Linked DNA regions of Diceros bicornis minor. The protein of the gene in region 1 interacts with the protein of each later gene in a pairwise test. Links are inferred from orthologs where the notes say so. Each region holds a gene or a part of one and is shown on either strand. Other genes may lie near its edges.

Region 1 (15,737 bases):
CTCATTACTTCTTATCTGTGCGTCCGTAACAGGCTCACTTACTGCTCCTTGTCCCTAGTGAGCTCCTTCTCCAGGTCCATAGAGCTGCCAGGTTAACATCTTAAAACCCGGTTCTGATCAGTCCTCTGCTTTCCACCAGCCTCTGTAATAAGTCATGCTCTTTCAGCATTCAACACATTCCACTCGGCTGCCCCAACGCATCATTCCACGCTAATCTCCTGCTATATTCCCACAGAAAACCTGCCACGTCCATAAGAAATATGCAAAGTGCATTGTGGAGTGGAGGGCATTGGATGCCCTAGCGCTTTTTTCACTCTTAGCACCTCTACAGTTACTTACATACAAACTTACTCCTTCTTCTTAGGTTAGAACTACATTGAATCCTTCTTGAAAATGGTAGAGGTGGTGTGGCAGGGGAAGAAGTAAGTACAATTAGATTTTAAGCTCCTTGAAGACACACATTATATTTCATTCATCTTCCACCACAACTCAGTAAATATTTGTTGTAAGGAAAGAATATGAGGAAATGTGTTGAAAATAGAAGATTTCACCCAGTCAAGGGTATTAATCAAAGATGGGAGCACCTGCAGTAGGCAAGGTGCTGTGCTGAGACCGGGGACCTAAAGGAGTCTCAAGACATGCACCCCACCTTCCGGGAGCCCCTGTGCCCAGTAAAGGAGGCAGGATGGACCAGGTGAAAGAATGAACTAATACAAAGGTGCTACCACTTCTAATCAACATTGATTGACCACGAGGGACAGGAAAGAGAATGGTAGCTGGAGGAGAATATAGGATCAAGGAAGTCGGTTTGTTTTTTTTAATATTTATGTGCATTTATTAATCATAAGTACAGAATTTCATTTCAATTGATTCTCAACAAATACATACAATTCCTGATTCCTAATAGAAAACATGCAGGATAAAGCATATAATGCTAACTATTGTCAAAACTAGCAGTTTCCAAACTTTTTTTTTTTTTTTTTTGGTAAGGAAGAGTAGCCCTGAGCTAACATCCGTTGCCAATCCTCCTCTTTTTTTTGCTGAGGAAGATTGGCCCTGGGCTAACTTCCATGCCCATCCTCTTCCACTTTATATGGGACACTGCCACAGCATGGGTTGACAAGCAGTATGTCGGTCCTCGCCCCGGATCTGAACCTGCGAAACCCAGGCCACTGTAGCGGAGCACACGAACTTAACCACTCCACCACCAGGCCAGCCCCTCCAATCTTTTTAATTGAGGTAAAATACACATATAAAATTTACCATCTGAACCATTTCTAAGTGTACCGTCAGTAATGTTAAGTACATTTACACTGTTGTGCAACCAATCTCCAGAATTCTTTTATCTTTTTAAACTAAAACTCTACACCTGCTAATAACAGCTCCCCTCAGCCTCTGGCAAGCGCCATTCTACTTTCCGTCTTGATGGATTTGACTACTGTAGGTACCTCATATAAGTGGAGTGATACGAATACTGCATGTATGTGACTGCCTTATTTCACTTAGTATAATGTCCTCAAGGTTCCTCCATGTTGTCGCATGTATCAGAATTTTCTTCCTTTTTAAGACTGAATTAATATTCCATTGTATCTATATACCACATTTTGTTTATCAAGGAAGGGTTTTAAACAGAGATGCTTGAAAACATTTACAGAACCATGGAAATGACCCAGGTTAGAGCGAGTGGTTGAATGTACGAGAGACCTCAGGAGTTGGTAATTAGGTCATTGGTAACCATTAGATGGCAGCTCCAGGACTGACAGTTTTGTTAGGGGGCATTTATCCCTCAACCTGTCCTGAAACCATCTCTCCTATTTCAATCCACCTATACATACACCTGCTCACTGTGCTTATGTTTTCAATATTGTACCTTGGTGACTATATTTTAGTGCATTGTTTTGCTATATGATCTGAGGCTATCTTCTGTAGCCTCAGATCATATAGCAAAGACATTTAAAGTACTTTAACAACACAACTTAAACAGTATACATTATAACAATTGAGAGCAAAATACAGTAACACGCAAAACAAGTTGTATTTATGTGTAATAAAATGTAACCTGGAGGTAATAATCACATTTTATATTTATTGAACTCTAAAGAAGAGTATAAGACAATAAGATGGCTTACCCAATTTAATAAATAAAAAGTACATCCAAAGGCTAGTGTGGCTACCACGGTGAGGACACCAACTTTCTTACACAGAGTACTGCTCAAGGTAAACTTATATCAGGATAAATTCAACACTCTCAATTGTCAAATGAAGATTAAATTACATTCAGGAAATTAAGAAGCAGGAAAGTAGTGAATTTTAGAAGAAGAATTTGAAGAAGAGACTTCAACTTAAAACTCAATTAATGAAAAACTCAATTAAATTGCTTAAACAAAAAAGCATTCTCTGAACATTTTTGTCAATCAAGATTTTACTGAATTTCATGTTGTCGCAACTTTACATTGCCCCAAAGAAATGTATTTAGCATTTTAGCATAAGGAGCTCAGCAAAGCCAACACACCAAACTATCAGAAACCACTGCTGTCTTTCCCTTTCATTGGGCCTCTTAAAAACATAAAGCTTCTACTGACATCAAGTGATGAATATAGTATGGAAATTCATGAACTTGAAACAACACTTCCCACTATCCAGTTCGAAGAGGAACACACAATATAACATGAATATGACATCTCGCTCAGGAACAGAGAATCAATCCCTTCACTCATTTTCACCTACAACTGAAATGCTCATTCTTGGCCTAGAAACGCTAAAATGACCTGTCAGACACATGTCACCAAATGGCAAATGCCAGGATTCATCCAGGCAACCAATCAGGTGCTATGGTGACTTTGCTTAGAAAATACAGATTTTGCATATATACGCCAAACAACTTCTCTAGAATTTCCATACATGTCCAGTCCAATAGTAATTAATGTGAGAGAACTGGTTGCTGGACAGTGATGAAAAGGCTGTGTTGCTTTTTGGTTGGATATCCTTTAGATGTATCCAGATTTACGTGACTACTATTTGTCAGTGGCATCTTAGATAATTAGTAACTTGTAGCCAATGCAAAGGGTTTTCCTTCATAAGCGAAGACACAACAAAGGGTGATGCACTGAAATCATTGCAGTAGGCCTGAGAGATAGGTGAACAGGTAGCAAAAGGGATGTCTTCTCCACTAGAGGTTTATAAAGTGAAAAACATACCTGTTCTGGTTACTTGAGTAGTCCTCCTCTAAAACAGCAATATAAACTGGTTGAAAGAGAGAATCCCCAAAATGAACAAATTTCTTCAACATCGTAGGACAGGATTTTCCCAGCACATTCGCTTGAACACCCGAGCATCAGTGACCACACTATCTGGGACAATAGGGAAACAGAGTCTCCACACAGTTTAACTGTTGGGCCTGGCAGGCATGGAATTTCTCCTGGCCAACAAAAGGACACGCACCCGGACATCCTGATTCTGAGAGTTAATCATTTCTTTGCATGTCAGTTTTCTTTAATTAGTCACCGTAGCCTACAACAGTTGGCCCATATCCTTCGTGATGAACTGCCCTTGTCTCTATTCAGAGACTTCTCTCCTGTCCCACCCCCCAGCACACACACTTGTGTTGAACCCTCTCCGGTCACGTCTGCATTCAGCGGGAAAGCTTTTGGTACACACGGATTATACACAGTGTTCTAACACATTGGCCGGGGAACACATTATGGCTCTTACACAGAAAACACGTTTATAGAATTGCAAATATTGATGGTGATTCCTTGGAGAAGAAAAAGGAAGGCCCTAGAAATGGCAGAAAAACACTCCCGACAGAGTAGACTGATTTTATCAAAGTATCTATCAAATCTAATTAAAGACCAAGAAGACAGTCCCCAGCAGGACTGTTTTTAGTATATTCTGGCCCAGTGGACAGAGCAGTACATGGAGTCCTAGTCCCAGCTCCGCCTGAAAGCCAGGCGATCTTAGACAAACCACGTGAACTCCTGAGCCTCCACATCTTCTTCAGTAGAAACAGGACCTAACATGGGCTGCACCTTTTCACGTGCATGGAGCTTGAAGTGAAATGATGTATGTGAAAGCATCCTGTAAGGTATTATTACATATCCAAGAGGATGAATGAAGTCGTCTATTGGCATGCCACTGAATACACCTCTAGTGTTGGGCAGAATTTCTAGACAATTTAAGTTAAAATACCTTTAGGGCCACCCTGAAGACTTTTGCCTCCTAATCTTACTTTCTTAACTCCTATTTGACAATCCTTCACTACCAGTCCAAATAGCTGGGCTGCTAGTAGCCTGTTACCACTGTGTGGAGCACAAAATGCCACATTCTTCTTTTGCTGTATTCTCAAGCCTGCCCATCACACTTCCCCAAGCATTCAGTTCAAACACTCCCATTTGTGTGTCCCACAGAAGTCTATCACACTCACAAAGCAGACACTAGAAGGAATTTCATGGAAAAGATAAATATTTCTTAAGTGTCAAATATCCTTGATGTGTGTGACTGTTTGCCAATCATTGGCCTTAAATGTATCTTTTCTAAAACAAAGTATCAATGCTCTCTATCAATTTAATATTAATTAGGAATAAAGAAAACCACTTGAAAATCACCATAGAACTGTTCATTAATAATCAATTGACATGCAACTCTTAAGAACATGGTACAGCTATCTTCCAAAATGAGAAAAACCTAATTCCCCTAGTAGCCCACTGGAGTTTACTGAGCTAGATTGGAAGCAGAATTTCAAAGGCTTGAATAGAGGAAGAGGACAGAGCCTCTTCCTCTATTCCGTTATGACACGCTAAGGCAGGGGTATGGGGGAGAAGCCCAACAATATTCTCTCATCAGCCAGTCTCTGCTCCTTCCCGATACCAACAGTCAGAGACAATGCCCCACTCTTAGGAAAGGGAACCATGTTCACATATTCATTTGGGGCAGGGTGGGAGAGAGTTGTAGGTGAAGAGATTCAAGAGGATCTGACCAATGCAGAAGTTAAACTGAATATAGTCAACTCCCAGTCCAGTCCTTGGTCTGACAGTTGAACACAAAACATTTACCAACAAACGGTTGCAGTCCTGCTTTGAGGAAACATACACAAGTCCAGTAGTCTGCCTTTCCAAGTGACCCTCACTCAAGGACACCCACACAAATATTCCCTGCTAAAAGCCCTTAATTACGAAGAGCTGTAACAGTTCCGGCTAGGAACGCCAACTACGCACTTTGCTTGTGCCTCATAAACTTGCCACTCTGCATAGCCTAGTAACTGCCATGTCTCTGAAAGGTAAGTTGCATATTTAAAATATAGGTTCTTGTTTTTCACAGCACAAAGGAAAAAGACATCATCTGACATATCTTTATTAGGAGTGCCTAAAAATAACAGTCTCCTGTTTACTAAATTGAACAATGTATTAAACAGTAAAGAACATTAGTTTACAAAAGATTGTGCATCTGTGTTCTGCAAGAAAATCTAGATTCCAAAGCATGAGCACAGAAATGAAAAAACCCTGACATCTACAAATAAATTGGGCACAGAACTTAGCTCCTGTTAAGAAGAATATTTTAATTTAAGCAGTCACAATCATTCTATATTTTATTGTAAATGTCTCCAAATTGTAATTTTCAATCACTCTTTTGCTCCTCACTATTTGATAATATGTAATTTTCAGGAAACTTTCTTAATCCCAAGTATAGTAAAAGTATTTTTTAAATGCCAAGATTATAAAGGAACAATACATTCTATTAATATTACATGAATATTTTTAAATGACCTTATATTTCAGTTTGGGATAACTAATGATGCCTATCATAACCCAAGGCTTAAACTAGAATGGAATATAAAATTGCTAAGAATTAAAACTATTAGCCCAATATGAATTTAACACTTAATTCCAGTCTCTAGTTTCCCATTTGCAAAATAGCTTTCTCTTTGCCTTAATTTACCCCAAATTATACAGGATTAAAACAAAAATACCACAACCTGACTCATTCCATCAAAAAGGAGGAACCGAGGTTTTCTTTTGAGAAGAGCAAAGGAAGATAATTATTTCTAGGTAAAAAAATACTGAGGAGCAAAACTATAAAATCAGTGAACAGCTCAGTGATTTCCAGGGGTTGGGGTGGACGGAGAGGGTTGAATCCAAAGGCACAAAGGGGACTTGGGGAGTGACAGAACTGTTCTGTCCTGATGATGGAAGTGATTATTAAACTGTGTGCAACTGTCGGAATTCATAGAGGGGTTCACCTGAAGAGGCAAGATTTTACTGTATGGAAATTATACTGTAGTAAGTCTGACTTTTCAAAAATGCTATTATGTCTAGAACAATGTGCTAGGCACTGAATTATGAAGTCTAATATTCAAGTATACATTTCTCAAGGGTTCTAAATGTAATTATCAAAAAACCTACCAGTAAATGATTCAAGTTCAGCTTTCAGTGTTTTATATATTTTATTATTTATAGATATTGTATAAAATGACTCAAAACATGAACTAAAACTATTACAAGATGTATTTTGAATACACACAGAAAATTGCACTGTCGTATTCTTAAAAATGGACATATCAATATCTATTAAATGCTAATTATATTTTTAAGAGTTGAATTGACTAAATTTTACCTATTCCATATTATAAATAAATTGAGAAATGTAAAAGGTGATTAGATTCATTTGAGTCCCTCAGAACCACTGTGAAATCTGTCCTAAATATGTTTTTAATTGATTTCGAAGATTTATAGGTCTTAAGTGTTATAGGAGACTGGCTGCAAGAATGTTTCACTAATTCAACTGAAAAAAAATGCTTGAACATAAAATAGAATCCTAAGATTTATGCTTTAACACCTATTGATGAACAGATCCTTACATTTTCCTTCCTGTCAAACGTATGCAGAAACATATAGATTTTCTACAGAAAAAATGAGTCAAAGAGTCATTTTTTTTCATAGTCACAGTGCATTTACTTTTTACAATACTCACAGCACAAACCTTTCCTTTCACATGTTCCCTTTTTCAATAACATAGTTCCCCACACACAGAGGAAAATAGCCACTGTGGGTTTAGAAACTTATAACAAAAGTAAAAATTCCTAACAGAATGCCCATGTAAATACTAGAAATCTAACAAAATAAGGCAGATGCTTTCCTCCAAAGTGTTGTGTACCACACCAAAGCACAAAGTTGCTTTTTAAAAAGCTAGTAAAATTGAGTCAACCTTATTTTCCTAAGAAATCCACTCAAATCCAAAGTTTTGTTTTTCACAAAAATAATATTCCCTTCACTAAATTGTATACTTCCAATATGAATTGGCATGAAAAGTAACACGAAGGGTCAAGAGAGCAGCAGGCGTGTTTCTCTTCAGCAAATAAAACAGACCAGATCTTAATTTTGCTCAGTCTGCCCAGGAAAGAAGTAATTCTGCTTTTTGATATGACTTAGGAATGGCAGTTACTACGTTTTAAAACACCGGTCACCTGCCTGTGATACATCTTCCCAGGCCCAGAAAACTCAAGCCTGAAGCGCCTGGTCCAACTTTCCCACTGTCACACTTCACCCATTGTCGTGAAATCCACAGAGAAAATCCAGAGGAGTTTTTTCTTTTAAAAAGACATGGATATTAGCAAAATCATCTCGGAGATTTCAAACAGAAAATCAAGAGAATTAAATCACACCTCGAGCAAAGGGGCACTTACCTTGCAGGTAAACACTGGCCTAGCAATCTCTGAAACGCGCACATGTGCTTTTCCCGGAGTAGTTCTGTTCCCCGCACCCGGCCCGCGGCCACCAGCTGCGGACACTGCGCGGACCTCGCGCAGCCCAGACCCGGATCGCCAGCCTTCGCCCGCAGCACTGGGATGCCCGTCGCAGCCCAGGATGGCCCTTCCTGCCCGGTTCCCGCGCGTCCTCTCCACCCTGCAAGTTTCCAGAGGCGGTTCTCGCAGCCTCAGCCCTGCCAGCGTCCTAGCAGCCGGGGCGAGGGAATGGGTGTCACCAGGGACAGCAGCTGGAGACACTGCGAAGATCACAAACGACTTAACGAAGAGCCTCTTCTTCCTTTTAAAGACCCAGGAGGCGGGCTGGGGAAAAAAAAAAATCCAAGAGCACACGTGACCACCGAGCCAGCGGCACGGAGATCTCGGAGGACCTGGACTCCTGCCTGGCGATCCACACTCACCTGCGCGAAGGCGGAAGCCCCAGGGCAGGGGCTGCCACCCTCGAGCCCCTCGCAGTCACCTCAGGGGTAGCAAAACACAGCTGGCATCTCTTCCCTCCCCCGCCCCCCGTCTCCGATTTAGGTTTAGGGCGGTGCCTGAGAATGTGCATTTCTGACCAGGTCCGGAGTGATGCTGAAACTGAAGCTGCCGAGCTCGCGACCACACTTCGAGGATCGCATCCCTAGACCCTGACCCACGTGGGTCTGAGAGGGGCTGGATGCTTCATTAAATACACAAGTCTGACTCTAAGAATCGAGTGGTGAAACCAGAGAGGATCTGGATTTGCCCAATCCCCAGCAGCCAGCGCAGCCTCGTGCCCCTGGAAACGCAAAGCCACGCTGCCAAGGTTGGAGGTGGAGGGTGTGGGTTCTCAGCTCTCAGGGGCTGACTGGGAGGGCCTTTTCGCGTTAGAGCAAAGGTCCTAGGAACCTCCTCAAACTCACCTCCTGCCAGGAAGCACCCGGGGGAAAATCTGCGGCTCCGGGGTGGCGGCGCCCCTCTTGCCTGGTGGCGCTCGGTCGAGCTCAAGCCGCAGGGAGCGCCCCCTAGTGGCAGTTCCAGTTCCCCCGGCTCTGCAGCGTCCCCAAGCTCTCCTCATCACCGCCCCCGCCCGCCCCCCGCAGTAGCCCACAGTGTGATGATTAGGACCATATGGCTGTCGTTAAGAAGCAATGGGCTTTAGAGCAGCCGTTGATGGCAAAAATCGAAAGGAAGGTAGCAGATGTCCCATAGGCAATTGTGAGACCCCTGTGCCACATTTGTGCCTAATCCGTCATCAAACTATCCATACACATGGCATAAGGGACATGGTTCTTGATGTGGTTGTGACTCTAGGTCTCTGGTAGAGGAAGACCAAAGGGGCATTTGGAGGGAAACTTTTATAGTGCCAGCCTCTGGTGTTGGGGTTTAGCCAAAAATAGCTTGGAGGGACTCCAGCGTTCTCTGGGTTTACAAGAGGGAGGTCCACAGGTGCTGGAGAGGCTCAACTTTATAAACAATGGTTATCAGAAACCTCTACCCCCTCCTCCCAATTTTTCATTAAAGCCAAGACTCCTGGATTCTCTCAAGTTGTTAAGGCAGTTTCCTGATCCATGAGGCAGAGAAGCGAGTTTGGACAAGAGGGTGTGTAGCTGACCAGATCCACCGCTGTGAAGGACTGTAGAGGACAAGATGCTTATCTCTGCCAGTCTCAGCTTCCCTGTTCCCTCTCCTGGGTATCTCTCCAAGTACCTAGTCCCCATAACAAGTAGTACTTACTTGTTAACAAGATACCTCTGGAATGGAAATTATTATGAAGGAATTTGTCATGAGCCAACAGGCAGACAAAGATGATGTGCAGGTGAAGAAAACTGACGTCTATCAAGTATCTACACCGTTCCAGAGAATCAGCTAAGTGCTTGCACAGGTAAGATTGACCCTACTTTTTAGATGAGGAAACTGAGGCTCACAGAACTCGTATCATCCTCCTGAAGCCACACATAGTAAGACAGGAACCCAGCAGCAAAAATGGCCTTGTGAACAGCTACCACTTGTTGGCACTTAGCCACACTCCAGTTTCTGCATGTTGTCTCATTTTATACACAAGACTATGAGGTAAATTCTATGATTAATTATCCCCACTTTATGGTTGAGAAAATGGCCAGTCAGTGGCTGAGAAGGACTTGAACCCAGGCCAGAGCCCAAGACTCTGTTTTCTTCCATACCATGACTGCAATCAGTCGGAAATGAAGATGGCTTGAACGTCAGGACACTGTGTCTCCTGCAGACAAGCCCCATCTCTAAGCCTCCTGCCCCCTGTGAGAGAAGCTGCTGCTCAGCCCCGGAACCAGAGCTCCGTGTTTGCTGTGCTGCTTCCTTCAGAAGGCGTTCCACTCATGGGAACAGCATGTTCTCTTTTTAAAGACCCTCACACACCCACAGAAGCTGTTTGTTCCACAAGGAAACCTGCTTGCAGGAAATACTAAGCAAAGAGAATGAATGGGAGTGAGTACGTTTCCTTCTGACTCACCCTGTGGTTGGAGAAAAATAATGCCACCTGAGGGATAGAACCTTCGCCTGGTTTAATGCAGTGAGTGGGGAGGGTGAATATTCCAACTCTCCCTGAACCATAATCAAAACTAAGAAGAGGGCCGGCCCCGTGGCTTGGCGGTTAAGTGCGCGCGCTCCGCTGCTGGCGTCCCGGGTTCGGATCCCGGGAGTGCACCGACGCGCCGCTTCTCCGGCCATGCTGAGGCCGCGTCCCACATACAGCAACTGGAAGCATGTGCAGCTATGACATGCAACTATGTACTGGGGCTTTGGGGGAAAAAATAAATAAGTAAAAAAAAAAAAAACTAAGAAGAGATTCTTGAGACAGTTAATACCACGGCTAGATCAAAAAGCACCCTGAAATCTAGTGTTGAGGGTTGTGCCTCTGCTCAGCAGGGTCCCAGTCTCATTTCCGCCTCACTCATGACCTGCCTAGGAAGCACCCACGTGGTGTGACATCAAAAGGCCTTCCTCTCCCAAAATACCCTACAACAGGGACTGAAATCCTCACCATTCAGCCATCCTTTGGGGTTAAAGCATTGGATTGTTAAAATTCAATCATGTTATATATGATGGGTCATATGAATTTAGTAGCATTTATGATTACATTAATGAGATGAGCTTGCAAGATGAGCTAAATGTCACCTGGGAAAACAAAGGAAGCCAGCGTAGGACAGGTACATTTTGCTGTAGGAGGAAGGCAGCCCTCTCCATCAGGGTGCATCTTCCTCATCCTCTCGTCCTGCCCCTTCTCTGTCTGGTGAAGTCTTACCCATCCCAAAGCCGAGAGCCTGAGTAAAGTGAAGACCGCGACAGCCCAGCAGAACATGCACACTGCTCCCTGCACACCGCTCATCCTACCTGTCCACACTGCCTGTGCTGTGACTGTACAGTGCCCATCTTATATCTCCAGCATCCCACACGGTAGCATTAGTACCCATAGCATCCACCTAGTATAACCCAGGCATTCAACAAATACCTGCTGGAGGCTTCCACTTGGAAGGATCAGAGGGAAAGGGGAGGGATTTTCTGTAGCAAAGAAACTACTTAGAGGCAAAACAAACAAATAAAACCCTGTAGAAGGCAAGAAAGCAAAAGCTGATGTGGAAAAGTGGAGGGGAGGGAGGATTCCAACCAATGACTAGAAGAGTGTCACGCTATAGGATGGCTTTGGAGTGTTACTCTCTCTTCTGAGCCTGAGGCCAAGTGGGAGGATTCAGGTCCTGGGATGCTCTTACCTGCTCCCGAGTATAACAGGATTGGGCTCATTCTTCATATCATGTGGGTATAAATCGGTCTGTTTTAAGGGGATGTGAGGGATGAAACCCTAAACTTAAGGAATTAATGAAAGAGGAGAGAAAAGCTTGTTGCACCTGTAATAACACCTTTATTTGATGGCATTGGATTGGAAAGGTGGGATTACTAATGGGATAGGTCAGAGGTTATCTCAGCTGCTCATAAACCAGGGTTCATAAAACAGAATTTGATATTTGAAAGTGGAATTTGGGTAGAGCTCTTTAGGACCATGTCTTTTGTGGAAATAAAAATGAACCTAATATTTATGCATCTTTCCAGCCCAGGCGCCACAGTAGGCAGGCTTGCGCAGGTTGGTTCATTTTTCTTTCATTTAATCCTCATAACTTCCCTGTGGCTGTGTCTGCTTTATAGACGGGGAAACTGAGGCTCAGAAAGATGACGTTTGTTTTGTAAGGTCACCCGTGTGGATGTGCAGAGTGAAAGTGCCAACCCAATGTTGTTTACCTACCTGCTAATCCCTGGCTTTCTCCGCTGTTACCCTGTGATGCTCTTCTTGTTTGTTGTGTAAACTGGGGCATATTTGTCCTGTAGAGCCCAGATATTGCTGAATGAAATTTTGCCAAGTTCTTGTCTAGGCATGACCACCTGTGTGCATATTTACATAACAATCTTTACTGACGAGTGTTTGGAGCCCTTAGTAAGGTGACCAAGGACATAAGCAGTGAGATAGACCTAACCTGACACCTGGGCACCCAGACCACAGGACAAGGTTACTCTGACCTGCAGTGGAAATGAACCAGCTGGGCAGCAAGGATGTCAGCCAGCTCCTTACAAGTCATCCTTCTTTGTCCCAGTCTTGACATTTGCAAACATACAGGTAACATAACTTTTTATCCTGTCTACTGCTCCTCGAAGGTACTTAAATTCTACACAAATCTCTTGCATATCTTGAGTTTCTAATTTTCTCTTCATTTGAAATCAAACAACATGAAGAATATACATTCTTGTCCTCAGTCCCAACTCTGATTGCAGCAATTCTCTCTTGAGCTAGAAAAGAAACTAGCCCCTGGAGGTCACTGGCATCAATGTGAACACCCAGTTGAGAAAGAAAATGTTAAAGAACTGTTAGAAATGGTGGCAAATTGTAATATTCAATTTCACAAATGACTCAAATGCAATTCTGGAAATGCAACTTTCTTACCTCTTCTGGCACAGAATAAGATAATATTAATAACAGGTCAGACAGTGGAATATTCCCAGAAATGAGGTCAACAAGGAGATAGGGTATAGACAGACATAGCTTAAGAGGCCACGGATTCTAATAAGACTGATTCCATAGAGTTTAGAATTCAAAAAAGTTGACTAAAGTTTTTTCTACTTCTCACAAACGTATTTGACATTGTCAAGTTCTTCATTCATATCATGGAAAGTTACTAGAAATGTCTCATATTTTCCTTTAGACCCATATCAACTAACACTCCAGTGATGCACATTGCATTAATGGCTTTATAAACATACAGACCCCACCTTTTGTGTACAGAGAGAAGGTGCTCCTTTCACATATGTTATTGCTTGATCTGATGAGCCTAACCAGAGAAAGGAACGGTCTTCTCCATTATGCAATCCCCTCTTTTGCTGGGAATTACAGCCAGGAAGTGAACTTCTCCAAGCAGTTCACACAGCTTCTGAGATTTCACCAGTGTTGTCCAGTGTACTAGGATCTCTGCATTCTCCCCTTTTTCCTCTTCTTTTTACATCTCCACTGTCCGGGCAGTTTTGCTCACTAATCCCTCCTTCATGGTTTTGCCCAACTTCAGGCCATATGCTTCCTTAGCCTGCTCCCACATGATCTACCATCCACCAGATACAACTTACTAAGAGAACTGCTGCCCTAGGATGACATTGACTTTTACAATTAACAAAGCACTTACGTGGCCAGGCCATGCTTCATTTTTTCACCAGCTCTGTGATGTTGATTTTATCCCCATTTTTCAGATAAGGAAATTTAAGTGAGTTCTCCAGATTTACAGTTATAGAAACCCAGGTCATCTGACTCATTATGTACATCCATAACTGCCTCCTGGGGGAAATTCATTTCCTGCGTTCCTGGCACTGGGGTCTCTGCATATCCGCCATGCTGCTACTGCTAGTATCCACAGGCTGTGTCAGCTGACCCCATCCCTTCCCTCTACCCTTCCCACCCTATCTCAGTCTAAAGTACCATTGGAGGGAGAAACTTACTGACAGCTTCTTGAGTTATTTTCACCTTAAAATTATTCTGACATTCAACATTACATTATTCTTTCATAAAACAGTCTTCTTTGAGAATGCTTCTTGCCCTCATGCATTTATCTCTTTGTGAATATGCCCCCTTAATGCTGAAAAACAATAATGCTTTAAGTGCCTACCTGAGACACAAGAGAATGTGAAGGTGTCTGCTTTCAGATGAGGAGGAGGAGGAGGAGGAGGTGACTGACATTCATGCAGCAATTGCTCGTAAGCCCTTTATCCGCACTATTTCATTTAATCCTCAAAACATCTCACCAGGTAGGTACTATTTATGTTCCCATTTAACAAATGAGGAGACTAAGAAAGTTTAAGTGACTTGCCCAGTATCACACAGCTAGTAAGAGCAGAGGGTTCAAACCAGACCTGTTTCACTCTAACGCCTGTTCTCTCTGAACTGCTGATCTCCCTAAGGCTTTAGACTCCTGTAGAGGAGAGAAGCCAAATGCCTAAGAAATGATCTACCATACCTGTTAGAAATGATAAGTGACTAACAAATGGTGGAAATTGGGAGTTTTTGGACATTCAGAGGATGAGAAGTTGCTTCCCTGCATGTTTGGGTTCCTCTTAGAGAGTGATTTATATTAACCCCCAAGCTTGAGCTTGTTACCTGAGCTGACTGAATTTCAGACATGAGGATGCTGGTCTCCTCTGGTGTCTCCTCTGAATTCTGCAGGTGCGCAGGCCCAGCACTGCATTCCCTCCCTTGGAATCCCTCATTCTCCACTCTGCCTCTGGAAACTGCAGTTGCCGCCCAGGACTTCTGCAGACAGGAGGAGAACACAAAGGCACTGGTGCACGCAGGCCAGAGGAGCCCAGGATGGAGCCAGGCTTGGGGGTCAGGGGGGCGTAGGGATTTTCAGACCAACCACTTACCAGTTCTATGCCCTTGAACATTTTCCTGGCCTCTTCGATCTTCCTCTGTAAAACAGGAAAAGCACAAGAGTCTACTTGATAGGATTGTTGTGAGGATGAAAAGAAAGGATGAATAATAACATGGCTGACACCTGGTAAATTCTCTATAAGTGAGAGCTTTACAACAACCCAGCAGTTCTTGGAACAAAGGGCTACGTGGATGCAGGGAAGACTTGGCCTGGGAGAGGCCGAGGGGTAGGTTTCCTGACTAGGGGTGTCCAGGCTGTGAGGGTGGAGGAGGTAGTAGAGAAAGTGAACACCTCGCCTGGAGCTGGTCCTGGAACTCGGCATACATCTCTTCAGGCAGGCCCAACATGCGGTGAGTCAGAGAAAGACCCACTGACATGTGACCCAATTGTAAGACTAACTTAGTGTTTCCCCACATTCCTGGAGCATAAAAGTCACCTGAGCCACTTGTTTAAAACACAGATTCCCAGCCATCTCCTCCCCAGCAGGCTCTGCACCAGTAGCTCTGGGGCAGGTCCTGGAAATGTGCATTTTCCACAAGACACTGGGTGATTTTATGATCAGGGAAGTTTGGGAAACACTGCTTTAAAGTGTTCAAAGTGCTTATTTGTCCACTATGTAATGGAATCTGCATAATGGGTGACTTATCATCCCCATTACACAGGAAAGGTAATTAAGGCCCAATAAGGCTCAGCGATGTGCAGGAGCCTGCTCTCACTGGCTCAGGAGGGCTGATTGTTAAATATCCAACGAATTTGTAATTCAGTTATTAAACCAATCGTAGCTTGAAATTGGCCATGTGAGTAGTTACACTACAGATTTCTCCTGGCCAGAGAGGAGCTCAGAGGGCTCAGGTCAGCTTCCTTCAGAACACAGGGCAGTGACTGATGTGACCACTTCTCGGCTGCTCTCTGGTTTGTGGTTCATGGCTCACTCTAAATATTATCTTTTTCTCTAGGGAATCTGTAAACACTACATACACAGCAGGACTTTTTTTTTATTGAGGTAACATTGGTTTATAACATCACATAAATTTCAGGTGTACATCAATATATTTTGACTTCTGTATAGGAGGACTTTTTAT
Region 2 (15,949 bases), on another chromosome or scaffold:
AACACCCAATATAGTGAGGAGGGAGAGAGTAAACTAGCTCTATGTCTCTCCTCTCTCCGCATGCTGTTCTTACACTTCATGACCAGGCTTACTTTCCTAATGTATAGCTTTCATTATGTCACCATGTGGCTAAAAACTTTTGATCACTCCCTATTACTTAGTCAATCAAGTCTAAACTTCCCAGCTTGGAAATAAAAAGAATTCAAAGCCTTCCATGATTCAGGTGCATAGTATGCACAGACTAAGAACATAGGCTTTGGAATTAGACTGCTTGGACTCAAATTCTTTCTCCATCAATTGTTAGCTCTATTCCTCAGTTTCTTTATCTATAAAAAGAGATAAAAAACAGTGCCTATCTCACAGGGTAGTTGTGAGGATTAAACGAAATACTACTTATAAAACACCTGGCACATTACCTGGCAAATAGTATGCATGCAAAAAATGTGAGCTACTATTATTATTATTATTATTGCTGTTGTTGTTCAATCTCTATTTCTAGCCTTAACTCCAACAAGAGCCTTGTAACAATCCTGTTTTCCAGCCAAAATGGACTCTTTACTACCTCCTAAATACTCATCTCTACAATCATGCTTTCACTCAGCCTGGAAAATACCCCCTCATCTCCAAGTATTAAGATCCTAACCGGGCTGGCCCCATGGCTTAGCAGTTAAGTGCACGCGCTCTGCTACTGGCGGCCCGGGTTCGGATCCCGAGCGTGCAGCGGCGCACTGCTTCTCTGGCCGTGCTGAGGCCGTATCCCACATACAGCAACTAGAAGGATGTGCAACTATGACATACAACTATCTACTGGGGCTTTGGGGAAAAAAAGGAGGAGGATTGGCAATAGATGTTAGCTCAGAGCCGGTCTTCCTCAGCAAAAAGAGGAGGATTAGCCTGGATGTTAGCTCAGGGCTGATCTTCCTCACACACACACAAAAAAGATCCTAACCATTCTTGGCAGCCCTGCTCAAAGGCCACCTCTTTCAGGTACCATACTCTGATATCTCAGCTCCATCACACAGTACATACACCCCACATGACACTTAAGCCCTAGCTAAATTCATCTTTGTATCCTGCAGAGTTCTAGCCCAATGCACATAGTAGGGCCCAATAAATGTTGGATAAATGAATGAATTCCTATATTTCCTCTCTCTCAACCGCTCTCTTGGAGAACAGCTTTAAATCACAAATAAAAAGATCACTTCTGTAGTATTTCAAAAAGCCGGCCAGCTAGTTTTCTTTTCTATCACCAATATGGTAACTTCTAATGTCCCAGCATATAGTAGATGCCTAAATATTCAGCGATTTCAACTGAATTTCATCGCATTTTTAATTTCAGTTATCATTTTATTCCTTAGGATCAAGTATGACTCAGCCTTAGAAACAGATTTTAGTTTTTACCTGCCCACAAACTCATCTGCCAATTTCTGGCCATCCTGACCCTATCCCAATATGTCATGTATTGGTTTAGGAGAGAGAATATTTAAAACCTCAGCAAAGTAAGAACCAGAAAATCAAACACCTATAGGGCAATAAAAGTAAATGAGCAAAGCAAGAGAGTAGTGAGAACCATGCAGAGAACTAGGAAACAACAGCCCACCTAAAAGCTTTAGCTTTTATTGTACTGCTATGAGAGAATATGGGCTTGGTGGTGACAGATCTTCCAATTTTTCATGGTAAGTCAGAAACTCAGAAATTTGTGTAAATTTTTAAGACATTAAAAATATTGTACTAGCCAAACAAAACGTGTCTGCAGGTCAAATCTGACTATAGGCTGCCAGTTTGCATCCTCTGCTACAGAAGTTCTCTGCAAAAGAAGTGATGGGGTGGGAGGAGTTCCATTCCAGCAGACAGTCTAAGGCAGCAACTAAAACTAAAAGCAGCAACTTGGAAGCATCTCCTGCAACACTAAGCCTAGCTTTCAGCCATTCCATTTTGACCTGAAAACCAAATTAATTCTACAATTGTGTCGAGCATATTGAGCCTCTCTTCTGTGCCTGGTGCTGAGAATCAGAAATGTACAATAGCGCTAAATAACACCTAATATCATTAAGCATTTTCTAGGTGCCACACTGTTCTACTCATGTTATATGAATTAACTCACTTAATCCTCACAACAATTCTACGAGATAAATACTATTATCCTTATCTTAAAGATGAGGAAACTGAGGCACAAAGAGGCTATGCAACTTGTCCAAGGTCACACAATTAGCAAGCAGCAGAGCTGGAATTAGGACCTCAGACAGACTCCAGGAGAAAGAGCTCACAATTTGAAAACAAATACCATTCAACAAATGGTGCTGTGATAATTAATCATATATAGGAAAAAATAAAACTGGACCCTACCTCACACCACACACAAGAGTCAATTCCAGATCGATTAGAGATCTAAACATCAAAGGCAAAGCAGTAGAGATTCAAGAAGATAATATGAAGAATAACTTCAAAATCCTAGGGGAGGAAAAGACGGATAAATTTGACTTTATTAAAATCCAAAACCTCGTTTTAACAGAAGACAACTTAAAGAAATTAAAAAGATTAGCAACAAAATGGGAAATGATATCTGTAATACGTATAATCAACAATGGATTAATAATCAGAAAATAAAGAAATCTTTTGAAAAAAACAACCCAATAGAAAAATGGCAAAACAAGCCCCAGCATGGTCTAAGCTGTGAAAATCTGGCGTTACCACAGGTGCCATATAGCAGGCCCCAGAACAGGAAACATTGGCATCACTGACCAATATAAAATATTCAGGGGCCTGTCATGTTGCAGGTACACAGAGCATGGGGGATCCAGCCAGAAGGACAGAGCCAAAATGATTATTCTCCATCGTATCAGAACTGGATGGCAAATCAGAAGCTGAAGATCGAACATTTGGATACATAGATCATCGATCAGCAAATGTTTTTGGTAAAGGGCCAGACAGTAATTGAAGTATATATTCTCTGTCACAATTACTCTCCTCTGCCATTGGTAGAGAAAAAGTAGCCAAAGACAATATGTAAATGAACGAGTGTGCCTGTGTTGCAATAAAACTTTATTTACATGAATAGGTGGTAGGCCAGATTTCACCTATGCCATAGTTTGCCGATCCCTGACACAGATAGCGGTGATTTTCCTACACTCTAGGAATATTTTCCAGGTCTTTCACTACCTTTTATGTCTGCTGATACTTACTTCCGATTTTCTTAAGCAAAAACTACACCACACTTGACAGCATTGCAATGGTTTCCAAAAGTCTATTACTCTACCAAAAAATATCTCCTCCCTTATTTTCTGTGGCAATTCTTACCTCATTTTCCTTTCACCTTTTTTTAACCTCTTTGACAGCCACCATCCCAAACTAGAAATCTAAAAAATTCCCTTTCTCTCTCACCATTCACAATGTCAGTTATATCAATACCTGAAAATTCTAACTCTGTTAATACTTCACAGCCTCTGTCTTAGTTCAGGCCCTCATTACTTCTTCCCTGCTCTCCAGTCCACCCTTCTCCAAAGAACATCCATTTATCTCCTAAAAATTAAACCTCACCATACACTCAACTCCTTGAAAACCTTGAATACCTCCCTATCAGCTAATGATTCAGTCAAAACTCCTTAGCAAGGTCCTTCACAACCAGATTCCAAACCACCTTCCCAATCTCATCTCTGACCACTCTTACACCCTTACACACAGACACACACACACACACAGTGTGATCCAGTCACATTCACTTACATTCCCTGAAAATGCATGCCTTTACCTGGAAGGCTTTTCTCTCCAACTCTGCATCTAGCAAACTCTACCTTTCAGAACACATCTCAAGCGTCGCCCCTTCACAAAACCTTCCCTGATTCCTAGAGCAGAGACATGCCACCTCTGTATCTTTACAACCTTTGATAACTCTCCTTTGGCATTTACCATCTTGAACTATCAGTGTTTACATGTCCACTTCTCTCATGGGATTGAATATCCAAGGTGAGAGGATCCTGCCATAAAGACTTTTGAATCTCCAGAGCCTAGCATAATGCTTGACATGCAGTAGATGTCTCAGTGCACAGTAAGTGTCTGTTGAATGGAAGACATGCTTGGTGGTAGAAGTAGGGTTTCTTAACCTGGGGTTCATAGATAGGAGTCCACAGATAGAATTCAGGGTGGGGGGGTCCATAAACTCGGATAGGAAAAAAAAATTACCTCTTTATTTTCACTAAATTCTAACTGAAAGTCACCATTTTCTTCAAATATGAATGTAGGCAACAAACCATTCTAGTATTAGCAGCATCTATGACTCTGTCACAGTAATCATAGATATCTTTATATCATATTACAGTTGATGCAGATATCTTAAAATATTATTTATGCTCATCATGTCTTTTTTTTTCCCCCCAAAGCCCCAGTAGATAGTTGTACGTCATAGTTGCACATCCTTCTAGTTGCTGTATGTGGGACGTGGCCTCAGCATGGCCAGAGAAGCGGCGCGTCACTGCGTGCCCGGGATCCGAACCCGGGCCGCAAGTAGCGGAGCACGCGCACTTAACCGCTAAGCCACGGGGCCGGCCCTCATCATGTCTTTAAAATTGTAATTATCAAGAGAAACAAAAGAAAAACTAAACAAGTGGGACTTCATCAGACTAAAGAGCTCCTGCAAGGCAAATGAAACCAGGATCAAAATGAAAAGATAACCCACCAGCTGGGAGAAAATATTTGCCTATCATATATCCGACAAGGAGTTAATCTCCATAATATATAAAGAACTCACACAACTGAACAACAAAAAAACAAACGACCCGATCAAAAAATGGGCAGGGGCCGGCCCGGTGGCGCAAGCGGTTAAGTGCGCGCGCTCCGCTGCGGCGGCCCGGGGTTCGCTGGTTCGGATCCCGGGCGCGCACCGACGCACTGCTTGGTAAGCCATGCTGTGGCGGCGTCCCACATAAAGTGGAGGAAGATAGGCACGGATGTTAGCCCAGGGCCGTCTTCCTCAGCAAAAAAGGAGGAGGATTGGCGGATGTTAGCTCAGGGCTGATCTCCTCACAAAAAAAAAAAAAAAAAAAAATGGGCAGAGGATATGAACATTTTTCCAAAGAAGATATACAGATGGCCAACAGACACATGAAAAGATGTTCAACATCACTAATCATCAGGGAAATGCAAATCAAAACTACACTAAGACATCACCTTACACCTGTTAGAATGGCTAAAATCACCAAGACAAAAAATAACAAATGTTGCGGAGAAAAGGGAACCCTCATTCACTGCTGGTGGGAATGTAAACTGGTGCAGCCTCCATGGAAACCAGTATGGAGATTCCTCAAAAAGTTAAAAATAGAAATACCTTATGATCCAGCTATCCCACTACTGGGTATTTATCCAAAGAACTTGAAATCAACAATCCAAAGACGCTTACGCACCCCTATGTTCATTGCAGCATTATTCACTATAGCCAAGACGTAGAAGCAACCCAAGTACCTATCAACAAATGAATGGATAAAGAAGATGTGGTACATATATACAATGGACTACTACTCAGCCATAAAAAAAAAGACAAAATCATCCCATTTGCAACAACATGGATGGACCTGGAGGGTATAATGCTAAGCAAAATACCCCAGACAGAGAAAGACAAACACCGTATGATTTCACTCATATGTGGAAGATAAACTAACACACAGACAGAGAGAACAGTTTGGTGGTTACTGGGGGAAGCAGGTTGGGGGTGGGCACAAGGGGTGAAGGGGTGCATTTATATGGTGATTGACAAACAATAATGTACAACTGAAATTTCGAAATGCTATAAACTATTATGACATCAATAAAAAAATTGTAATTATCAGACTCATCACTAGATCTGATTTCTTAATGTGCTGATAAAGAAGTATCTCTATATTACTATATCAAAATTTGTATATTTTGGTAACTGTATTTCAACATAATTGGTTTTCTTTGTAATCCAGTGTATTTTGTTTTATGCAATTAAAAATATTCTGAGAGAGGGCCTGCACAGTGGTGCAGCAGTTGAGTTCACGCTCTCCACTTGGGTGGCCTGGGGTTCGCCAGTATGGATCCTGGGCGCAGACCTACTCAATGCTCATCAAGCCATGCTGAAGTGGCATCCCACACAGAAGAGCTACAACTCTACAACTATGATATACAACTATGTACTGGGGCTTTGGGGAGGAAAAAAAAAAAATTCTGAGAGAGGCCCATAAGCTTCACTAGATGCTAAAGGGGCCCATGGCACAGACAAGGTTAGGCCTTCTTGCATTAGAAAGATCCAGAACAAATGAATCCTGTTGCTGTATAAATGTATGGCATATACGTATTGAATATACTGTATATTGAAAATCTTATTGCTATGAACGTCCTCATAATCTTTTTGCTGAAAGTCCTTTTTGATTATATGGGAGCCCAGGAACTACTATATCATGACTGATTTGCATAGTTTCCCTCAGAACTCTCTCATAGCCCATATGAACTTTGAACTCTTCTCTATCATGATCAAACCTCAATTAAAGTTTGATCATGATAGAGATCCTAGGTCTCTACCATTGTTCACGGTTATCTTTTTAGGCTTTCTGTGTCCCTTTGCTGTGTAGTAAACACCTAGAAGAGAAGGAGCCTCTCTTAAAACTCTAGAAAGTTAGAAGTCACAAGTGTCCTGCAGATAATTTCTTGGCACAAATGGAGGTGGGCTAGAAATTATCAAATAGCTAGTTACCTATACTTTTTTGTATCCCCCTCAGTCTTTGTACTGACAATCTTATTACAAAAACAAAATTAATTAATAGTTCTTTGATCTATACTGCCATGATTGACTTCACACTTTTTTCCCAACTAACAAATTCCTCTAAGGTAGTATATGGAATGAGGAGGCAGCAGACCCCCTCTGCCACTAATCGGTAAGATCCTGAGAAGTCAACTTTTTCTTTCTAGGTCTCAGCTCAAGTCACTACATGATCTGAAACTGTTACAGGATCCCTAAGACCCTTGTAGTTTTTATATATTCACTCCTCTTCATCATTCTTACTAGCTTCAATAACGCCTTTCTGATGACCTCCCCAGGTGACCCTGCTCTTAAAACAGTGGGCTGTCCCCTTCCTGGGAAGACACCTTGGGTCACCGCCCACAAACAGCCCAGTCCCTCCTTTTAAAGACACACAAACTCCCTAAGTTGATGGAGGTTCTCTCTCTTCTTGCCAACCAGTTCCACTCTCTGCACCCCTTTTGCTACCAGCTCCTTCATCCAAACCTCAGCCCTCCTTCTCCCCCTTCCTCATCAAAGCCTTCCTTTTTCCTGTTGCTCTCCCCAGCAGGGAGTGGAGGATCCTCGGGGCACCTATGTCCTCAGTCCCTTGGGAGTTACACGGACTTGCAATCCAGCCCCGCGACTCCGACGACTGCCCCAATCTGCTATCCTCGTCTGTACCCAAAGGGCCCAATTTCTAACCAACACTCTTCCCACCACCACCAAAGAAGTGTCCCCAGCCCTGACAGCTTGAGTTTGGACCCCACGCCCCTCCGGGTCCTACCTGCTCTGGGGTCCTAACACTGCCCATAGCCTAACACAGCTCCCGGTCCTGGTCCCCCAGCCCCACGGACCCCGATCCCGTTTCCGTGTGGACCCAGTGTCCCTTCTCCGCGACCCCGGCCACGACCCCACGTCCGGCTCCCGCCAGTACCTCGGGCCTGGAGCGCCACCCCGTGCAGACCCCGGCCGGCCTTGCACTCCCTCAGCGCCCCGGACCCCGCGTCCCGCACCCTCCCCAATCCCAGCCGGGCCCCCGCTCCCTCCAGCGCCCCCGCCCGCAGGCCCCGGGCCCGCTCCCCAACATGGCGACGGGGACAGGAGCGCGGCGGGCGGGGCGGCTCCGGGCCGGGCCCGCACTGGGGCCGTGCTCCACGGTCGGCCGGCGCCATTTTCCCGCGCCGGGCCCGGGCGGCACCTCCTTCCAGCGGCGCCAGCCGGGCTGGGACCGTGGACGCCCGGTGGGCCCACCCCTTACGGGCCCGCGTCGCCGTCACCTCACCTGAGCGCGGCCCCAGCCCTCCCGGGCGGGCCTCGGAGCACCGGCCGGGGCCGTGCGTGCCCGCGGCCCTCCGTGTGTCCGTCCGTCCGTCCTCGCGTGCGCCCGTCTCTCCGGCCGTCGGCGCCCGGCCGCCCGCAGCCCGACCCGGCAGGGCCTCGGGGAGCCGGCGGGGAGGGGGATGGGCCGGACCGGGCCGGGGAGGGAGGGGGAGGGAGGGCGAGAGGGAGGGAGCGCGGGAGGGGCGGGGCGGACCCAGAGGCGGGGCCCTGGGTCACGTGACCAAACGTCCCCGGGAGCGCGCGCCCGCTCACTTGGGTGCAGAGTGCTTAGGGCCGGGATCCAGTGGATCTCTGTATGCCGCCTGGCACTGTAATATCGGCGGTGGCTCCTATCCTCACTTGGGAAGCTCTGCACAGCCCTATAGGAGCCCTCTGGCTGAGTGTCCTTGGGCAAGGCAACTCTCCAACCCTCAGTTTACCCATCTGAAATATGGGGATAATAATAGCGCTTGCGAAGAGGAAATAAGGGCATGGACAGCCTTTGGCACAGTGCCTGACACATAGTGTCTAATAACGTTAATGGTGATAAAGATAGTTAACCTTTATTATTATTATAAGCTCCTCTCTACTTTTCCCATTACCGTCAGGCTTGCAAGTTCAGTGGGTGCTCAATAAAATAATTCTTGCGTGAACAAGGGAGTGCGGCCCCTCCCCTCTCCCCAAATGTAGGGAACCCTCACCAGCGCTGGGCTTGATACCTGTCATATAGGCCTGGATTCAGATCTGGCTTTCACTCTTGATAGCTGTGATTTTCTTTTGCATCTGAACCTCAACTTTCTCATCCCTAAAATGAGAGTTAAGGATCTGTTATGAGCATCACAGAAGATAGAATATGAGCAGGTGGATTGTAAACTGCACAGCTCAGGCATACTGGTCTCATCTACAAAAAGGAGTCTGGAGTCCTGTCCTTCCACAAATATTTATTTGTGTGCTTGGACTGGTGCAGTAGCTATCCATGGCCTTTTCACATCCTCCTTGGTTCCCTGCAATCTATTCTTCATCCTGCTGTCAGAGTATTATTTCAAAGTCAGAAATCTGATCATGTCCCTCATTTCTTTAAGACTATTTGATGGCTCCACATTGCTCTTGAGATAAAGGCCAAATAAATATCTTACTGTTGCCTTCCCACATCTTCAGACTTCTCTCAGGGCCCTCTTCCACTCTCTCTAGACTGTAACTGCCATCATCTTCTTCACATATTGTACTGCCTCCCTTCTCAGGACCCTTGCACATGCTGATCCCTCTGCCTGAAATGCTCTCCTCCGTCAGAGATAACTCAACAGCCTTCAGATCCCTGCTCAAACATGGATACCCCAAGGACACCTTCCCTGACCACTCCCCAGGCAGATTCTCATACTTGTCCTCATTAGGAGGCACTAGGCTGTTTATTCCTTGTCTTCACCACTAGATTGTGGACTCCGTAAGGAAGGAGACTTTAACCATCTTGTTTGCTGCTGTTTCCTCAGCACATAGCACAGTGCCTGTCACAGAGAAGGCCCCAATAAGTATTTGTTGTTTTGTGTGAATCCTGGGCACTGTGCTAGGTGCTGGGCCCAAGAGGGCCGAGAAAAATTAAGAGAACCACAGGCGGCCACAAGGGGGCACCTCAGGCCTTGGAGCCTGTGAAATTAACACCAAAAGGATTTATCAGAGCCCAGAAAAAAGTTTTTTTTTTTTTTATTGATGTTTTAATGGTTTCTAACATTGTGAAATTTTTGGGTTGTACATTTTTGTTTGTCCATCACCATATATATGACTCCCTTCACCCCTTGTGCCCACCCCCACTGCCCCTGGTAACCACAGTCCAGTTTTCTCTGTCCATGTGTTGGTTTATATTCCACATATGAGTGAGATCATACAGTGTTTGTCTTTCTCTTTCTGGCTTATTTCACTTAACATAATACGCTCCAGGCCCATCCCATGTTGTTGCAAATGGGACGATTTTGTCTTTTTTTATGGCTGAGTAGTATTCCATTGTAATATATACCACATTTTCCTAATCCAGTCGTCAGTCGAGGGACACTTAGGTTGCTTCCACTTCTTGGCTATGGTGAATAATGCTGCAATGAACATAGGGGTGCATAAGCCTCTTTGGATTGTTGATTTCAGGTTCGTTGGATAGATTCCCAGTAGTGGGATGGCTGGATCATAGGGCATCTCTATTTTTAATTCTTTGAGGAATCTCCCATCAGAAAAAAGTTTTTTTAAAGCTTTTTCTTTTAACTTTTAGAAAGCAAGGTATAATTAGCATACAGCACAATGCAAACGTCTTAAGTAATAAATTTTTACCTATGTTCTTGTGTTACCACCAGCCAGATCAAGTTACAGAACTATCAAACCAGAAAGTTCCTTTTATTTCCTCCAGTATGTGCCCTCCCAGTCAATACTTGCTCCCCCAGAGATAACTACTATTTTGACTTCTAGTGCTGTAGATCAACTTTGACAGTTCTTGAGCTTCACATAAATATATAAGCACATATTCTTTTGTGTTAGCCTGGAAATCTGATCTATCCAAAGAGTGACTCTTTGGATAATGATACAATTAATGAATTATTTGATTAATTAATTAATCTGAAAGACTGAATGAGAAACTCTGGTTATTTCATCCTCCAGAGACAAGGGTCCTGCCAGAAGGCAGCCCAGGGGCTGAGAAGACATCATCCACACAACTCCAAGTCTCACAAAAATTTCTAGAGGTAAGAAAGCTCTGAAAGGCACTGGCCTGGTGGCGCAGTGGTTAAGTTCGCACGCTCCGCTTCGGCAGCCCAGAATTCGCGGGTTTGGATCCTAGGCTCGGACCTATGCACTGCTTATCAAGCCGTGCTGTGGCAGGTGTCCCACATATAAAGTGGAGCAAGATGGGCACAGATGTAAGCTCAGGGCTAATCTTCCTCACAAAAAAAAAAAAAAAGAAAGGAAGCTCTGAAAGATTCTAGAAACTCAACAACAAAAATCCATTTTAAAAATGGGCAAAAGACTTGAGTAGACATTTCTCCAAAGAAGACATACAAATGGTCAATAAGCACATGAAAAAACATTCAACATCACTAGTCATTAGGGCAATGCAAATCAAAACCACAATGAGAGCTATTATTAAAAAAAAAAACAACCAAAACACAGAAAATCACAAGTGTTGGTGTGAGGATATGGAGAAATTCAAACCTTTATGCATTGCTGGTGGGAATGTAAATGGCGCACCAGCTGTGGAAAACAATTTGGTGGTTCCTCAGAAAGTCAAACATAGAGTTACCATCTGATCCAGCAGTTCTACTTCTGGATATCTACCCCAAAAAAAGTAGAAGCAGGGACTCAAAGAGATATTTTTACACCCATGTTCCTAGCAGCATTATTCACCATAGCCAAAAGGTGGAAGCAACCCAAGTGTCTATAGACAGATGCATGGATAAACAAAATGTGGCGTATATATACAATTGAATATTATTCAACCTTAAAAAGAAAGGACGTTCTGACACAGGCCACAACATAGATGAACCTTGAAGACATTATGCTAAGTAAAATAAGCCAGTCACAAAAGGACAAATATTATATGTTTCCTCTAATATGAGGTTCCTAGAGTAGTCAAATTCATAGGGACAGAAGGTAGAATAGTGATTGCCAAGGGCTAGAAGAAGGGAAGAATGGAAGGTTCCTGTTTAATGGGTACAGAGTTTCAGTTGGGGAAGGTGAAAAATGTCTGGAGATGGATGGTAGTGATGGCTGTACAACAATATGAATATACTTACCGCCACAGAGCTGTACACATAAAAATGGTTAAAATGGCAAAATTTATGTTATATATATTTTCCCACTGTCAACCTACAAAAACAGAAACCAATTTAAGAAACAAAGCATTTATTTGAGATCAAAGAATGGCAATTTGGGGAGCACAGATTCAGGTAGAAACCCAAATAGTCTCCCATTAACAGGAGAGGGGCTTAGGGTTTTTATGGGAAAAAGGGAGGATGAAGTGGACTATCTTTTTTTAATTTTTTATTTTTATTTTTTTTTTTCCCCCAAAGCCCCAGTAGATAGTTGTATGTCATAGCTGCACATCCTTCCAGTTGCTGTATGTGGGACGCGGCCTCAGCATGGCCTGAGAGGCCGCGCGTTGGTGCACACCAGGGATCCGAACCCCGGGGTGCCAGCAGCGGAGCACGTGCACTTAACCGCCAAGCCACGGGGCCGGCCCCTGAAGTGGACTATCTTAAAGAAGAGTTCATTGGTGCTGGATGAGGTGAGACTAGGTTTGTACTTTGCCTGAGGGTCAATCATCAGGCAAAAGGCTACATTTGTACGTCATTGATTGGTTAGCTATCCAGTCATCAACAAAGTCCAGGTCCATCAGTTCTTACAGACAGGATATTCTTGTCCTTACTGACTCCTTGGAATGTTGGTGGTTTGGTACAGTTTGGAAGATAAAGAAAATCTGAAATGGCTGCTCTGGCTCTATTTTACTGTGGCTCCACTCCTCAAAAAAACATGCCAGAACCTGAGCCACCATCCTCATTTTCTCACCTTGTTATCCATTCCTTACCCCAAAGGTCATAGGGTTTCCTTGGATTAGCAAGGATGCAGGAAGCTAGGAGACAGGGGCACCTACACATCCGGTAGGTGAAAATAGCAGGAGCACAGGCAACATAAATGTTTGTTGCCCACAGTAAGGCAGCAAAGGAACAGAAACAGGCCATGAACTGGCACTAAGACGAGCACAGCGACTACAAAATTGGGCTCTGATGCCAAAATACCCAAGTTCATATTCTAGCTCTGTCACTTATTAGCTTTGTGACCTTGGGCAAATCCAACCTCCTTGTTATACAGATGAGGAAAGTGGGACCAAAAGAAGAAAAAGGACTTGTCTGACAGTGTCCAAAGTATTTTCTCCTTTTTATTTTGTTTGTATTTAAATCCTTACACTCCTTTTATTTTGTTTTGTGTCCCTAATAGACTGTAAGCTCCCCGAAGAAGGTATTTTTGTAATATTATCACTTATAATAGAACTTAACTTTTTAGTGCTTCAGTTGCCTCATCTGTAAGGTGCAGATAATAAGGGCACCTTACAGATGAGGATTCGTTAAATAAGTTAAGTGAGTTAATAGAGGATTAAGTGAATTGGTAGATATAAAATGTTTAGAAGAGTGCCTAGCGTTTGTGATGACTCAACAAGAAGCAGGTTAACATAGGCCTCTGAAGAGGTTCTCAGGCTGTTTCACAGAATATTTTGAGCAAGAAAAGCAGTCCTAAGATATTCATGATTGTTCTGGATTCAGACTTGGGTAAAGAAAAAGAAAATTAGTTGTTCTTTGATATGAGCAATTTGATTAGCATTTATTGGACTTCAACTTTCATATGTTTGTCCAAATAGGCTTAAGCTTTGCAGTGATAAAATTGATCGTGAATACTTGAACCATGTCTTTAAGAACAACATCAAACAGGAAAAAAAAGTAAGAACAAAACCACTTGAAGAGCGTCAACATTCTACTGTCTGCGGGGTCCATCACAATAGTGTCAAACAACAAGGTTACCATATTTAGTTGGGCAAGTTGTGTCTTGCAGGAGGACATCACATCTAAGTGGGTGCCAGTCGCTGGTAGACAATGTAATTTATAACTTCGTTGTGATAATTTACCACTAGATGGCAGTAAAGTGCCTCATTATTACAAAATCAGTTCAACAATTTTCAGACAATAGGAAATAAAGTGCCTTGAAGAAGGGTCACTTCTACTTTGCATAAAGGCTTAAAATGGGCAAGCAATGGCTTGCTCTTAGGAAAAAAAGATTGAAAAACAGAAATAGAATAATAACTACACAACTGAAAAAAATTGAAGAGTATCAAGAAGTGACCAAAAACAAAGCAGAAATATTCTTAGGACTTGAAAATGTGTTTTCAAAAATATTCTGAAATTTTAAAACTTTTTATTGGAGTATAACATACAGACATAAAAATACACAAATCATAACTGTAAAGCCTGATGAATTTTCACAAAGTGAACATCTAACCAACATCCAAATCAAGAAATAGGACATTACTAGCCCCACAAAAGCCTCTTCATGCCCACTTTCCAATCATTACCAACACCCCTGAGGGTAAACAGTATCCTGACTTCTAACTCCATAGATTAGGCTCTCTAGGTATTAACTTTATATAAATGGAATCATACAGAAGGTACTCTTTTGAGTCTAGCTTCTTTTGCTCAATTTTATGTTTTTGAGATTCATTTATATTGTTGCATTATATATGTTGCATTATATATATTCATTTATATTGTTGCATTATATATAGAACATTATATATGTTCCTTTTCATTGCTGTGTAGCATTTCATTATTTGAATATATCACAGTTTATCCATTCTACTGCTGATGAGCATTTAGGTTTCCACTTTAGGTCTATTTTTAATAGCATTACTGTGAACATTCTTATACTTGTCTCTGGAGGAACATGTGTACAATTTTCTGGATTTTTACCTAAAACTAGGATTGCTGGGTCACAGGGTTTGCATATCAGAGTATATCAGCTCTAGTTGATATTGCCAAAACCCATGTCTTTTTTTGACAGCTTTATTGAGATACAATGCACATACCACACAATTCACTCATTTAAAGTGTGTGATTTAATGGTTTTTGGTATAGTCACAATAGGTGCAACCATCACCACAGTGAATTTTTTAGAACATTTTCATCACCTCAAAAAGAAACTCTGTACTCTTTAAATACTGCCCTCCTCCCGGCCCAGTGGGGTAGTGGTTAAGTGCGCGCGCTCCCCTGCTGGTGGCCCGGGTTTGGATCCCGGGCGCACACCAACACACCGCTTGTCAAGCCATGCTGTGGTGGCGTCCCATATAAAGTGGAGGAAGACGGGCACGGATGTTAGCCCAGGGCCAGGCTTCCTTAGCAAAAGGAGGAGGATTGGCATGGATGTTAGCTCAGGGCTGATCTTCCTCACAAAATAAATAAATAAATAAAACATCAACATATAAAACATTATAAAGTGAAATGCTCAAAAATAAATAAATAAATAGATAAATAAATAAATATTGCCCTCCTTTCAACCCCTCATTCTCCCATCCCTAAGCAACCACTAATTTGCTTTCTGTCTCTATAGATTTGCCTATTCTGGATATTTCATGTAAATGGAATCATACAATATGTGACCTTTTGTGTCTAACTTCTTTCACTTAGCATAACGTTTTCAAGGTTCTTCTATGTTGTAACATGTATCAGTATTTTGTTCCTTTTTATTGCTGAATAATATTCCATTGTATGAATATACCATATTTTATTTATCCATTCATCCATTAATGGACATTTGGGTTGTTTCACATTTTGGTTTTTGTGAATAGTGCTGCTATGAACATTCATGTACAAGTTTTTGTTTGAACACCTGTTTTGGATTCTTTGGTGTATATCTCTGGGAGTGGAATTGCTGGGTCCTATGGTAATTCTATGTTTACCTTATTAAAGAAATGAAAAAAATTAATGATTTAATGATAAAAATCATTAAAAATTATTTTTTAAAAATTATTATTATTATAGCCAACCTAGTGGGTGTGAAGTGGTATCTCATTGTGGTTTTGATCTACATTTCCCTAGCAACTTATGATATTGAGCATCTTATCAGAGACTTATCGCCCATTTGTAGATCTTCTTTGGAGAAATGTCTATAAGTCTTTTGCCCATAATTTAATTGGGTTGTTGAACTGTCAGTGTTCTTTATATTTTCTGGATACTAGACCCTTACCAGATTTGTGATTGCAAATATTTTCCTCATTTTTTGGGTTGTCTTTTCACTCTCTTGATAGTGTCCTTTGACACACGAAAGGTTTTAATTTTGACGTAGTCCAGTTCATCTATTTTTTCTTTGGTTGCTTGTGCTTTTGGT

Evidence for each region.
Region 2: the proteins of ESR2 (region 1) and NCOA6 interact in a two-hybrid assay, tested with the Homo sapiens proteins (3 studies listed by BioGRID). The link is inferred for Diceros bicornis minor from reciprocal best matches to the Homo sapiens genes ESR2 and NCOA6.

Annotation. Positions count from the first base shown.
Region 1 is NC_080763.1:13,367,589-13,383,325, forward strand, and holds the start of ESR2 (estrogen receptor beta), read right to left. Parts: upstream 7,996-15,737; 5' UTR 7,679-7,995; intron 1-7,678.
Region 2 is NC_080758.1:24,785,269-24,801,217, reverse strand, and holds the start of NCOA6 (nuclear receptor coactivator 6), read right to left. Parts: upstream 8,178-15,949; 5' UTR 8,013-8,177; intron 2,452-8,012; 5' UTR 2,347-2,451; intron 1-2,346. UniProt on the Homo sapiens protein: Nuclear receptor coactivator that directly binds nuclear receptors and stimulates the transcriptional activities in a hormone-dependent fashion. Coactivates expression in an agonist- and AF2-dependent manner.